Pelodiscus sinensis: one gene and its partners. The main gene of each other region encodes a partner of the protein of the gene in region 3 in a complex. Links are inferred from orthologs where the notes say so. Each region holds a gene or a part of one and is shown on either strand. Other genes may lie near its edges.

Region 1 (3,743 bases), on a different chromosome or scaffold from region 3:
AACCACCACAGATGAACGCAGCCAGGGAAGTAGCCCAAATCTTTCCTTACCAGACTGTTTTTCCAACAGTCAGCCTTCCCCAAATACTGACAGACTGAGGGACAATTGCCACTTGATAACATATTTACTTTCCACAATAAACTCTGTAAAATTGCCCATGAGTGATATAACCAAATACTTGTTCACCAATACCTAAATTGTACTGTTTAACTTGCACATCTAAATCTAGGTCAATGCTCATTATGGACTGTATGTATCTCAAAATTCTTAGCAAAACTTTTAGGTTTAGATCATTCAAACATGACACCTCGTTGTAGATACTTTCCCTTCTTTATCTGTGTACCATATCAATCTTTAATTTAAAAGATTAGCTTTAGTGCAATTTTACTGGAAACAGGCAGTGCCAGGGTACTGGAGAGTTATTAGCAATTACTTCAACTTTTAAAAAGCTGAAACTTCTTGCTGCAAATGTTTCCCCAACTACTCTTGCTTAGTTTCAAAACAATGCTCTTCAGTACCAAGTTAACAAGCTCATCTTCACTGGAGAAAAAGTGTGTCTGCAAAAATTACTATAAAACCGGAAATCTAAATTCTAGCTAAAGGGACATAGTCCACTGAAAAGTTACACTTCCATCTAAAAATGTGTACCTATCATTTCTAATATCACTTGAGCTGAAAAGAGGAGAAAGTGGCTGCTTTTTTCTAGTTACACCCTTCAGCACACGACTTACTGGTCTCATTATTTCCCAGCACGGTCATGTATCATGTGTGTATACAAAAAACAAAAGGAGAAAACCCATGAAACAATTCCGTAGCCGCAAAACCAGAGAAGTTTACGGGTGGAGTCAAGATTAGGTCTAGCGCCCTCGACTACTTTTCTTGCTTTAAAAAAAAAAAAAATCAGCTTTCAAATTAACAACATCGCTCAACACGACAGCTTCATCGGCAGGGAGGTGAAACCTAACAACTTCTCCGCTGCCCCCGGTACTCCCACTGCGCCCTTATCTACAGCCCTAAGGCGACAGGACACCCCCCCCCCCAAACCCCGGGCTGCCACACGGCTGGCGGCCGGACCCAGCTGTGAGCCACGCTAGGAGCTCGGCCTTGGCACGGAGGCGGCGCAGGGGAGCTTCTCCCCCATGGCGGCCCCCGGCGAGCAGGGCTCGGTGACAGCGGACCGGGCAGCGCGGGGCCCCGGAGCGACACCCCCGAGATTAGGCCCAAGGCCCGGCGCGTCCCGTCTCACCCTGAGCGCGTCCGCGGAGACGGGGGGGAAGTTGGGCCTCTTGCTGGGCCGGGGCTGCCCCGTGTCCATGGGGGCCCCGCCCCGCTCCAGCTCGGCCGCCCGTCGCTTCCGTTTGCCCCGCCGGGGGACCTTGATAAAGCCGCCGGCCTCCGCCGCGCCCTGGGTCTGCGGGGCTGGGACCCCGGCCCCGTCCTCCACCGGCCCTTCCATGCAGCACCCCACGTGCGGGCGAAGCCGGGCTAAAAGATCGACGTAGCCCGGGCCCACGGAGACGTCACTTCCGCCCCGAGTGATGCCTGCCGCGGGAGCACTGGCGTGAGCCCCGGATGTTGCCGTTGCTCGCTGGGCACCCGGCTCGTGGTTGAGTCGCCGCAGGCCGCGGCGGTTGGGGCGGCATGTCGGGCGCGGGGATGGAGAAGCCGCAGCTGATCGCGCACGTGCAGCAGTCGCTGAACTACACCGTGTTCGAGTGCAAATGGGTGCCGTGCAGCGCGCGCCTGCTCTGCCTCGGCAGCGTCCCGCGCGGCACCGGCCTCATCCAGCTCTACGAGCTGCAGAGTGGCCGCCTCAGCCTGCTGCGCGAGGTGAGTGTCGGCAGCCGCCCGGGCGCTGCTCCCCCCTGCCCGCTGGGCTCTGCCGAGGGGGGGTGCCGCTCGCCCCCTGAGCTCTGGTAACCTCTTTACGACCCCCCCCCCCCCCCGCCTCTGAGTCTCTTCTCAGGCCCCTCAGTGTCTCCTCCCTCCCCCGTGAGCTGCTGTCCGCTACAGCGGGTGCCAGGACCCGCAGCACCTGCTCCCTGAGGGTTGGTTGCCATGGTAATGTTGGGGCACGCCGGGCCTGCCCAACCCAGGGTGCTGGGCAGGCGGCCCCTCAGCCGTCTGGCCGGGGTGTAGGGTGGAAGCACAAAACTCTCCCCTTCCTTTGAAAATCTCCCTCCCTCCCCCGATAAAGATGCTGTCAGCACCCCGCTGATGCAGTCTGCAAGAATGGTCTCATTTTTTTCCTCACACACCTTGCAGATGAAAGGAGGAGAGGTCTGGTAAGACAATGTAGTCCTTCCCCCTGCAGTCACCAATAAAGAACAGGAACCCCGGGTATGTGGCTGTCTCATAGACTTTAAGGTCACTTCATATGCTGCCTTCTAATGACACTTTTTGCCTCAAATGACTAGAACCCTGTATGGATACGTAATTCGTACCCGCATAAATAATTTTCGAGTGTAGATACCAGCACATAAAGAATATCCAAAAATGGAAAAATTCATCTAGAACCTTATACATCCATGTGCAGAATTAATGTTTCTGTGCACTGAGGCATGCAAACAATGTGCACCTTCAATAGAAACACACAACCTTCCTGTGGGCTCTCTGCTAGTCAGCTGGGCAGCATTTTAATTTCTCTGGTGTGGCAGGAGCACACTGCTTACAGGGAATACTGTTCTAGTGACAACATTTGTATCCACAAAAATCTGTATCCATGGAGAGCTGCATTCACATCTGTGTATGTGGATATCTTGGGATATAAAGCAGATATCCATGGATTTGCAGGATGCTACAGGTGACCCCAAAGTCATCTGGTAAAACATACGTAGTAATGAATTGCAGTCACCACTTGAGTGGAGAGTGGCATATTTCACACAGGGTACTTCTAAATGGGGATAGGGAAGGAAGGAGAATATTGTCAAGGTAAAACATGTAAACAGTGTTTCAAGCCATCCTTTTCTTTAAAAAGAACATAAATTAAATTAAAAAACAAACTTTAAAACTCAACTTTAAAATGTCTACTTCATTGACTGGTCTTACATGGAATTTCCTAGAAACTCTCCAGCTTCATTTCTCATTCTGATGCTTACATAAGAGCATACATGCCATATGCTGCCTGCACTGTGGGAGGGTGTGAAGGAATGGTTCCACTGAAGCTTTTTAAAATACTTCAGTGTCATTTAAAGATCTCCTTATATTAAAAGATTAATCTGATTTCTTACTGTTCAACTCAGGATGGCCGAACTCTTCTGTCTGTAATGTGTATTTTCCCTGTTTTGAGGCTAAAAATAGTAGGTATGTATTAGAGTAGTATCTTCATGCTGAGATCCAAAGGATTTTACGACCAGGTACCTTGCAATAATGCTGGCAACTAATTTGTTTGTTAAAATCAGCTTAAGAAGTTTTTTTGATTGGGATTAATGTATTATCGAGTACACTGTTCCTAAAAATGATTTTACAAGTCTGTACTGTACTGTATTTGGATTTTAGACTCCGATGTGCTGCCAGAATTTTAACAAGAGCTTATATATTTCTACCTCAGCCATGTCACCACTTCCATACAAGAAAAAAATCCATATCCCTCCTTTATCTCCCAAGTATAATATGCATCCTCCAGTCCAGTATTCCATGACCTTAAGTATTTCTTACTAACTTGCTGAGGTTTCTTTAGCTGGCTCCTCTACCTGGCATCCTTTCTGTTAATCAGTTGTGGGAGTGAGGAGGAAATGCCTTTC
Region 2 (3,743 bases), on a different chromosome or scaffold from region 3:
TTACCACAACAAACTAGCCCAGGGCTCACAAACAATCCCACCACAACAAATGAGCAACGCCAACGCAATGCTCACAAACAGCCCTGCTACAACACATCAGCACAGACAGCCAGGTACTCATGAACAATCCTACCTCAGCTCACCAGCATTGTGCTGATGAACACAGCAGCCTGGTCAGCCCAGTGGTTGTGAACATCCCTACAACAACACACCAGCCTGGCTGGCCCTGCGCTTACTGCTTGGTGCACTCCTTGAAAAGCTTCCCAAAATACCAATATTTTGTCATCCAGATTCATGTTCCTTTCACAGTTGCTTTCCCTAAACATCTGACCAGGTTTTTTGATCTGAGGAAGTGGGTCTGGCCCACGAAAGCTCATCATCTAATAAACCATCTTGTTAGTCTTTAAAGTGCTACATTGTCCTGCATTTTGCTTCATCTGATCAGATGGGATTCTTGGGCTGAACAGCCCAGAAATATGACACTAAGAAGAGGACTCAGGCAGCCAGAGACAAAAAAACAGTTTCTTGCTGCTCATGGTTTATCTCCACAATAGCAGGAAGAAGGTCAAGTCTGGCTTGAGCAAAGCATGGGAATCTAGGGCGAACAGAAGACATCATGATCCAAGAACAAGAGTGTTGTATCTTTAAAGCTTCCTTCAGCCCAAATGTTAATATGCTGTTGAAGTTTAAAAGGTGTCAACACAAATCAAGAGTTTGAAATAGTTTGACTCAAAGTCCGTTCCTCTTTGAACTCTCACTCGTTGGGCTCCAGTGATTTACACTAGCGCTGCAGTTATCCGGGCAGCTGCCAGTCCTGGGACCTATTCCTGGCTATGTTTTGTTGCCCCTAAGTCTCAGAGTCTCCGGACGGATGGAAATAAAATGGGGAAAGCAGAGGAGCAACTCCAGCCTGCTAAGGGAATGGATGAAGCGTGGAAACGGTCAGCGCCACACACACAAAACAAGGAGGCGCCCAGGCCTCATCCCCTACCAGGGGCTCCCAGAAATCTTGGGTCCACCCCAGAACCCTGCCCCCTCTGCTCCTCGTCCCCAGCCCCTCCCACTGGCAATATCCAGCCTGCTCTAAACTGGCCAGTCCCTGGGAGGGGGGGGCGGCCCCACCCCCGATTCAGAGATGTGCCCCCCAACCCTCCTCAGGCAGCCCCCCTCGGCTCCTCCCCTCCCAAAACAGCCAGCCCCGCCCCTCACCCGCCCCCCCCCAAAAACTCCTGAGGCGGCCAGCCCCGCCCCCCCAAACTCCTGAGGCGGCCGGCCCCGCCCCCCCGAGGCGGCCGGCGCCCCCAGCCCCGCCCCATAGCGAGCCGGGCTGTTACATGGAGCAGGCAGCGGGGAAGGGGGCGACTCGGCTCCTGGGGCGCAGCTGCAGGGCCGGTCCCGCCGGAATCCTGCAGGGGGCGGGGAAGGGAGCGGGCGGAGCGAAGTCCGACAGAGCCCTTCACAAAGATGGCGCCTCAGGCCCAGCGTCAGGGCGCGTGCCCCAAACAAACATGGCGCCCGAGGGGGCCTTTTCCCGGCCGGTAGAAGACGTGACCCTGCCGGAAGTTGGGGCGTACGGAGCATGCGCAGAACGGGCGGGAAGATGGCGGACAGCGGCAAGAGCAAGCCCGCAGCGACGGCTCCATCCACCGGCAAAGCCCTGGCGGCGGAGCAGGTACCGGGCGGGTCCATCGCACCCTAAGAAGGGGGAAGTGTGTGTGGGGCGGGCCCATCGCACCAGGTGAGGAGGGGGGGTGTATGTCGGGCGGGCCCATCGCACCAGGTGAGGAGGGGGGGTGTATGTCGGGCGGGCCCATCGCACCAGGTGAGGAGGGGGGGTATGTCGGGCGGGCCCATCGCACCAGGTGAGGAGGGGGGGTGTATGTCGGGCGGGCCCATCGCACCAGGTGAGGAGGGGGGGGTGTATGTCGGGCGGGCCCATCGCACCCCATGGGGGTGGTGTATGGGCCAGGCGAGTCCATCTCTTGGGGGGGGGTTTCACTGAGCGCTCCCCCCCCCCCCCGTGACTGACCTTCTCCCCCCCCCCCCAGGTGGTGGCTGGATTCAACCGGCTGCGGCAGGAGCAGCGGAGCTTGGCCTCGAAGGCGTCGGAGCTGGAGCTGGAGCTGAACGAGCACAGGTGGGGGCAGGATCGGCCCCCCCTCTTCCCCCGTGCGCGTTTAGCTGCTCCCTCACCAGCCAGCCACGTGCCTGCTGCAGCGTCACCTGATGCCTTCTCTCAGCCCCGCCCCCCAGTGCAGCGCAGGGCCCAGCCCATGTGCCCCCTGCGCTGCTCAGCGGGGGAGGAACCCGCCCAGTGCTGGAAATGGTCACTGGCCCCCTGGGCTTTACCTGCCATCGTCAGGGGGATGTCGGGCTCTGCCCTTGGTGTTCAGGGCTTGCTTGGAGCCCTGATCCCATTGCGACTCTGCACACAGGGCTCTGGGTATCAGGTAGGCTGGGCCTCAGACTATAGTGCAGGGTCCAGTGGGGGGGCCACTGGCCCACAGAAAAATCATTCAGGGCCACCCACAAATAAGGAGCAAACAACCAAACCAAAAAGCTCAGCCTCAGCCTTCACTGGCCTGCTCTCCGAGTGAGAGAGGGGGAAAAGACGCATTCCCCACAAACTCCAGCGTCATGGCGGAGTGGAGTGCCGAGGCTCAGGACTTACCCCCAGAGCTGGATTAACTCCTCTGAGGTCCTGGGGCTAGTAGATTTTGTGGGGGCTTAGGCTCTGGAGTGAGTTAAACAATGAGGGGTTCATTGTGTTGGGGAGGGGGCTGCTGGGGAGTGGGATGAGGTGGTGGGGTCAGGGCAGGAGGCTGGGTATGGGAGGGGTAGGCCCAGCTCTGAGGGTCTGGGGCGCAGGTGACCCAGGGCTTGTAGGCACTGTCCCCCAGCCCCCCCATTAGCCATTATTCCTGGCCAGTGGGAGCCACAGGAGTAGATCTTTAAGTGAGCACAGAGGCAGAACTTTCCTATGTTGCTGTTCCCAGAGCTGCTTCCTCCCTGCCTATCAGGCGGAGCCTGCAGGCTGATCTGCTGGGGGAGCTCTGAGCTTTGTGGGCTGGGTCAAAGCAAACCCACTGGCTGGAGGTTCCCCTTCCCTGCTATAGCGACTGGCTGGGCCCTGTGGATCTGCAGCCCTGCCTGTACGGTCTCTGTGGTGCTGGGAGGGCCCTCAGCAGCATCTGCCTTTTCTACAGCCTGGTCATTGACACGTTGCAAGAGGTGGACCCCACCCGCAGGTGCTACCGCATGGTGGGTGGGGTGCTGGTGGAGCGCACTGTCAAGGAGGTCCTCCCTGCCCTGGAGAGCAACAAAGAGCAGGTAACATGGGTGCTAGGCATGGGCAGGGTCTGGGGAGGGCACAGACTGCTCTGTGCCTCACTGGCATGGGGGTGGGGATGTCATGCATGCTGGCTATGTGCCCTTTCTCTTGGTGAGGGAGTCTCTTCTCTAGTTTGCTAGAGGGGCCATGATGTGGTTAGTGCAGGGGTGGGCGGTGCATTGTGTCCAGGAATGGGGAAGGTGCTGGACCTCTCTCTCTGGGGCTCTGCTTGGGAGCTGGAAGGATATCTGCCTCGCTGGATTTCAAGGGGAGTTGGGTCCCTGTGGAAACCCTCACTCTGGGTCCCAGAAAGATCCTACCAAACCATACCTTGTCCCTAAGAGCAATTAGTCCCTTCCCACGCAGGGTGTAACACAGTGAGTGGGGACATTGAGGGTTGCATATTTTTCTC
Region 3 (3,743 bases):
ATGAGATGGGGGCTGGATGCAGGGGGGGTTGGAGGGAGATGGGGGGCTGGATGAGATGGGGGCTGGATGCCGGGGGGCTGGAGGGAGATGGGGGGCTGGATGCAGGGGGGCTGGAGGGAGATGGGGGGCTGGATGCAGGGGGGCTGGATGAGATGGGGGCTGGATGCAGGGGGGGTTGGAGGGAGATGGGGTCTGGAGGGAGATGGGGGGCTGGATGCAGGGGGGCTGGATGAGATGGGGGCTGGATGCAGGGGGGGTTGGAGGGAGATGGGGGGCTGGATGAGATGGGGGCTGGATGCAGGGGGGCTGGAGGGAGATGGGGGGCTGGATGCAGGGGGGCTGGAGGGAGATGGGGGGCTGGATGCAGGGGGGCTGGATGAGATGGGGGCTGGATGCAGGGGGGCTGGAGGGAGATGGGGGGCTGGATGCAGGGGGGCTGGATGAGATGGGGGCTGGATGCAGGGGGGGTTGGAGGAAGATGGGGTCTGGAGGGAGATGGGGGGCTGGATGCAGGGGGGGCTGGAGGGAGATGGGGGGCTGGATGCAGGGGGGGCTGGATGAGATGGGGGCTGGATGCAGGAGAGGGGGTCTGGGGGAGATGGGGGGCTGGATGCAGGGGGGGTTGGAGGGAGATGGGGGGCTGGATGAGATGGGGGCTGGATGCAGGAGAGGGGGTCTGGGGGAGATGGGGGCTGGATGCAGGGGGGCTGGATGAGATGGGGGCTGGATGCAGGGGGGCTGGAGGGAGATGGGGGGCTGGATGCAGGGGGGGCTGGATGCAGAGGGGGGGCCTGGGTGGAGAGGGGGCGGGGGGAACATGCGGGGCTCGCGGAGTCCCCCCCCCCAACTCACCTCCCCCCAGCGCCTCCAGCCACTTCGCAGCGCTGCTCTCAGACTGACCCCGCCCCTCCCCCGCCGGGCTCTGCTGCACCGGAGCCCCGCCCACCAGGGGCGTGGCCTGCGCGCCGCCCCGCCCCATGCGCGCCGCCTGATTCTGAGTGGAGCCCGCAGGCGCCCGAGGGCTCTGATTGGCTAACGTGGCCGGTGCCCGGCGGGGGAGGGACACGTGGGGGAGGGGACGGTACGTGCTTCAAGGTCTTAAAGGGGAAGTGTCACCAATTCCTAGGGAGGGGCGCGGGGCGGGAGGAAGTGGCGGGCGGGGCGGGGCGGGGCGGAGTGAGGAAGGGGCCGCCAGGCAGGGCAGGGAGAGGGGCGGGGCCAGAGTCGGGGGGCGGGGCCAGGGAGGGGGCGGGGCTGGAGGACCGCGGGCCATCGAGCGGCGGCGGGAGCGGCTCCCTCCGCTCAGCGCGTGGCGGCGACGGGCCACTTCCGGTTTCCGGTCCGCGCCGGCGGCTCGCTGCGGTCTCCGAGCAACATGGCAACGGCGGTGAGCGCGGCCGCCCCGCCCCCCCGGGCCCCCCCGGGCCCCCCCCGCGCGCTCCCCCCCCCCGCCCTCCCTGACCGGTCTCTGTCTCTCCGCAGAGCACGAAGGTGCCCGAGGTTCGCGACGTGACGCGCATCGAGCGCATCGGTGAGTCCCCCCCGGGCCCGGCTCGGTCTCCATGGCAACGGGGCGCCCCTCGTGCGGGGCGAGGAGCGGGGCAGCAGCGGGGGGCGGGGCGAGGGGCGGGGCAGCAGCGGGGGGCGGGGCGAGGGGCGCGCGGGGCGGGGCAGCAGCGGGGGGCGGGGCGAGGGGCGCGGGGGGCGGGGCAGCAGCGGGGGGCGGGGCGAGGGGTGGGGCAGCAGCGGGGGGCGGGGCGCGGGGGGCGGGGCAGCAGCGGGGGGCGGGGCGAGGGGCGCGCGGGGCGGGGCAGCAGCGGGGGGGCGGGGCGAGGGGCGCGCGGGGCGGGGCAGCAGCGGGGGGGCGGGGCGAGGGGCGCGCGGGGCGGGGCAGCAGCTGACGGTGCCTCCCCTCTGTCCCCAGGCGCCCACTCCCACATCCGCGGGCTGGGCCTGGACGATGCGCTGGAGCCCAGACAGGTACCGGGGGGGGGGGGCTGAGTGGGGGGCGGGCGCCTTGGGGGGGTGGAGCTGGGCAGGTCTGGCAGGAAGGGGGGGTCCCCTATGGGGGGAGGCTGCACGTGACTGGGGTAGAAGGGCGGGTCTGTGGGTGTGGGGCGGGGGGGCGGGGGGGGGGCTGGCCGGACCCCCCCTTGCCAGCACCCACCCTGTCTCTCCCCAGGTCTCGCAGGGCATGGTGGGCCAGCTGGCTGCCCGGCGCGCCGCAGGCGTCATCCTGGAGATGATCAAGGAAGGGAAGATCGCCGGCCGGGCCGTCCTCATCGCTGGCCAACCGGGCACCGGCAAGACGGCCATCGCCATGGGTACCGCGCTCAGGGCACTGGAGTCCCTCCTTGCCGGCTCCCCCCCCATCCAGGAATCCCCATCACACGCACCCACCCCTTCCTTAGAGTCCCTGCCCCATCCGAGGAATGCTCTCACGGGGTGTCTGCCCCGCACCCAGGGAATCCGCCCCCTCTCCCTGCCTGGGAATCCCTCCCACCCTGGCACTCTGCTGTAGATGGCTGGACCCTTCGAGGGAGTTGCCCTGCCCTGAGTGGTGGCTCAGGAGCAGGGATCCTCGGCTTGCCTCTCCCCCCGTGTAACTAGGTCCCCCCTGCCCCCCAGGCATGGCGCAGGCACTGGGGCTGGACACGCCCTTCACGGCCATCGCGGGCAGCGAGATCTTCTCCCTGGAGATGAGCAAGACTGAGGCGCTGACCCAGGCCTTTCGGCGCTCCATCGGCGTGCGCATCAAGTGAGGGGCGGGCCTGGACCCCAGGGTTCTGGCTCAGCACTGGTGGGGGGGGCTGGGGGGTAACAGCAGGGGCTTGGGAGCCTGGGCTGTGGGGTTCTCGTGCTGGCTCTGGGAGGGGGGTGGGTAGAGCAGCAGGGCTGGGAGCCAGGCGGGTGCCATAGTGGGCACAGAGCTGCCTGCCCATGGGGGGCGATTGGGGAAGCTGTTCCTGTGTCCCAGGGAGCCACTGGCAAGATGTGGGGGGAGGACTGAGCTTGGCCCTCTCCTTCGCCACAGGGAGGAGACCGAGATCATTGAGGGGGAGGTGGTGGAGATCCAGATCGACCGCCCAGCCACCGGCACCGTGAGTAGGGCGGGGGCAGGGTGGTGGGGCTGGCTGGCTGGGGACAAGACAACTGGCTTGGCTGGCACTGCCATGCTCCTGCCCCCATCTTGTGCCCCTCAGAACAGGTCCCCTCCCATTCCCTGCCCCCCCCCCGAACACGCCCCTCCCTCTCACCGGTCCCTCACTTGTGATGTCCACGTGCAGAGTGAATGTTACGTGTGCGAGCAGGTGGCGACTGGCCCATCCCCTCCATCATGGCGCACGTCACGTTCATTCTGGGCGTGGACAGTCTGGCCGGGCTGGGGCCAAAGGGTTCGGCGGGTGGGAGCAGGCTCTGGCTGGGGGTGTGGGATCCGTGGTGGGGCTGGGGCTGAGGGGTTTTGGGTACAGGCTCTGCCAGGCCTTTCTCACTGCCGCAGCTCCGGGCCAGGTGCGGGGCGTGTGTCTGCCCACCGTGGCAGCTCTAAGGCCCTGAGCCCCTGCACCGGGGGGTTAGAAGGCTGCCCCGTGGCCACACAGCTTAGGGTGAACTTAGCCCCCATTCCCTGCCTCCCCTCTGCAGGAACTGGCCTCTTCCCCCCCCCCCTCCCCCCAGAATGGGAACCTCCCATTCTCTACTCCAGCCCCCAGCAAGCCTGCCCATGGCCGGTGGGCCAGTGC

What was found.
Region 1: RUVBL2 (region 3) and DNAAF10 share a complex: the UniProt entries of both Homo sapiens proteins name them as parts of the PAQosome complex. The link is inferred for Pelodiscus sinensis from reciprocal best matches to the Homo sapiens genes RUVBL2 and DNAAF10.
Region 2: RUVBL2 (region 3) and PFDN2 share a complex: the UniProt entries of both Homo sapiens proteins name them as parts of the PAQosome complex. The link is inferred for Pelodiscus sinensis from reciprocal best matches to the Homo sapiens genes RUVBL2 and PFDN2.

What each region holds. Positions count from the first base shown.
Region 1 is NC_134713.1:181,846,550-181,850,292, forward strand, and holds the start of DNAAF10 (dynein axonemal assembly factor 10), read left to right. Parts: upstream 1-1,517; 5' UTR 1,518-1,641; coding exon 1,642-1,830; intron 1,831-3,743. Other genes in the region: RNA-binding protein PNO1, read right to left, coding at 1,247-1,456. UniProt on the Homo sapiens protein: Key assembly factor specifically required for the stability of axonemal dynein heavy chains in cytoplasm.
Region 2 is NC_134734.1:16,077,474-16,081,216, forward strand, and holds the start of PFDN2 (prefoldin subunit 2), read left to right. Parts: upstream 1-1,518; 5' UTR 1,519-1,579; coding exon 1,580-1,672; intron 1,673-2,048; coding exon 2,049-2,137; intron 2,138-3,206; coding exon 3,207-3,330; intron 3,331-3,743. Other genes in the region: NIT1 (deaminated glutathione amidase), read right to left, coding at 1,335-1,336. UniProt on the Homo sapiens protein: Binds specifically to cytosolic chaperonin (c-CPN) and transfers target proteins to it. Binds to nascent polypeptide chain and promotes folding in an environment in which there are many competing pathways for nonnative proteins.
Region 3 is NW_027465870.1:30,818-34,560, forward strand, and holds the start of RUVBL2 (ruvB-like 2), read left to right. Parts: upstream 1-1,278; 5' UTR 1,279-1,375; coding exon 1,376-1,387; intron 1,388-1,482; coding exon 1,483-1,531; intron 1,532-1,924; coding exon 1,925-1,980; intron 1,981-2,182; coding exon 2,183-2,324; intron 2,325-2,628; coding exon 2,629-2,758; intron 2,759-3,034; coding exon 3,035-3,101; intron 3,102-3,743. UniProt on the Homo sapiens protein: Possesses single-stranded DNA-stimulated ATPase and ATP-dependent DNA helicase (5' to 3') activity; hexamerization is thought to be critical for ATP hydrolysis and adjacent subunits in the ring-like structure contribute to the ATPase activity.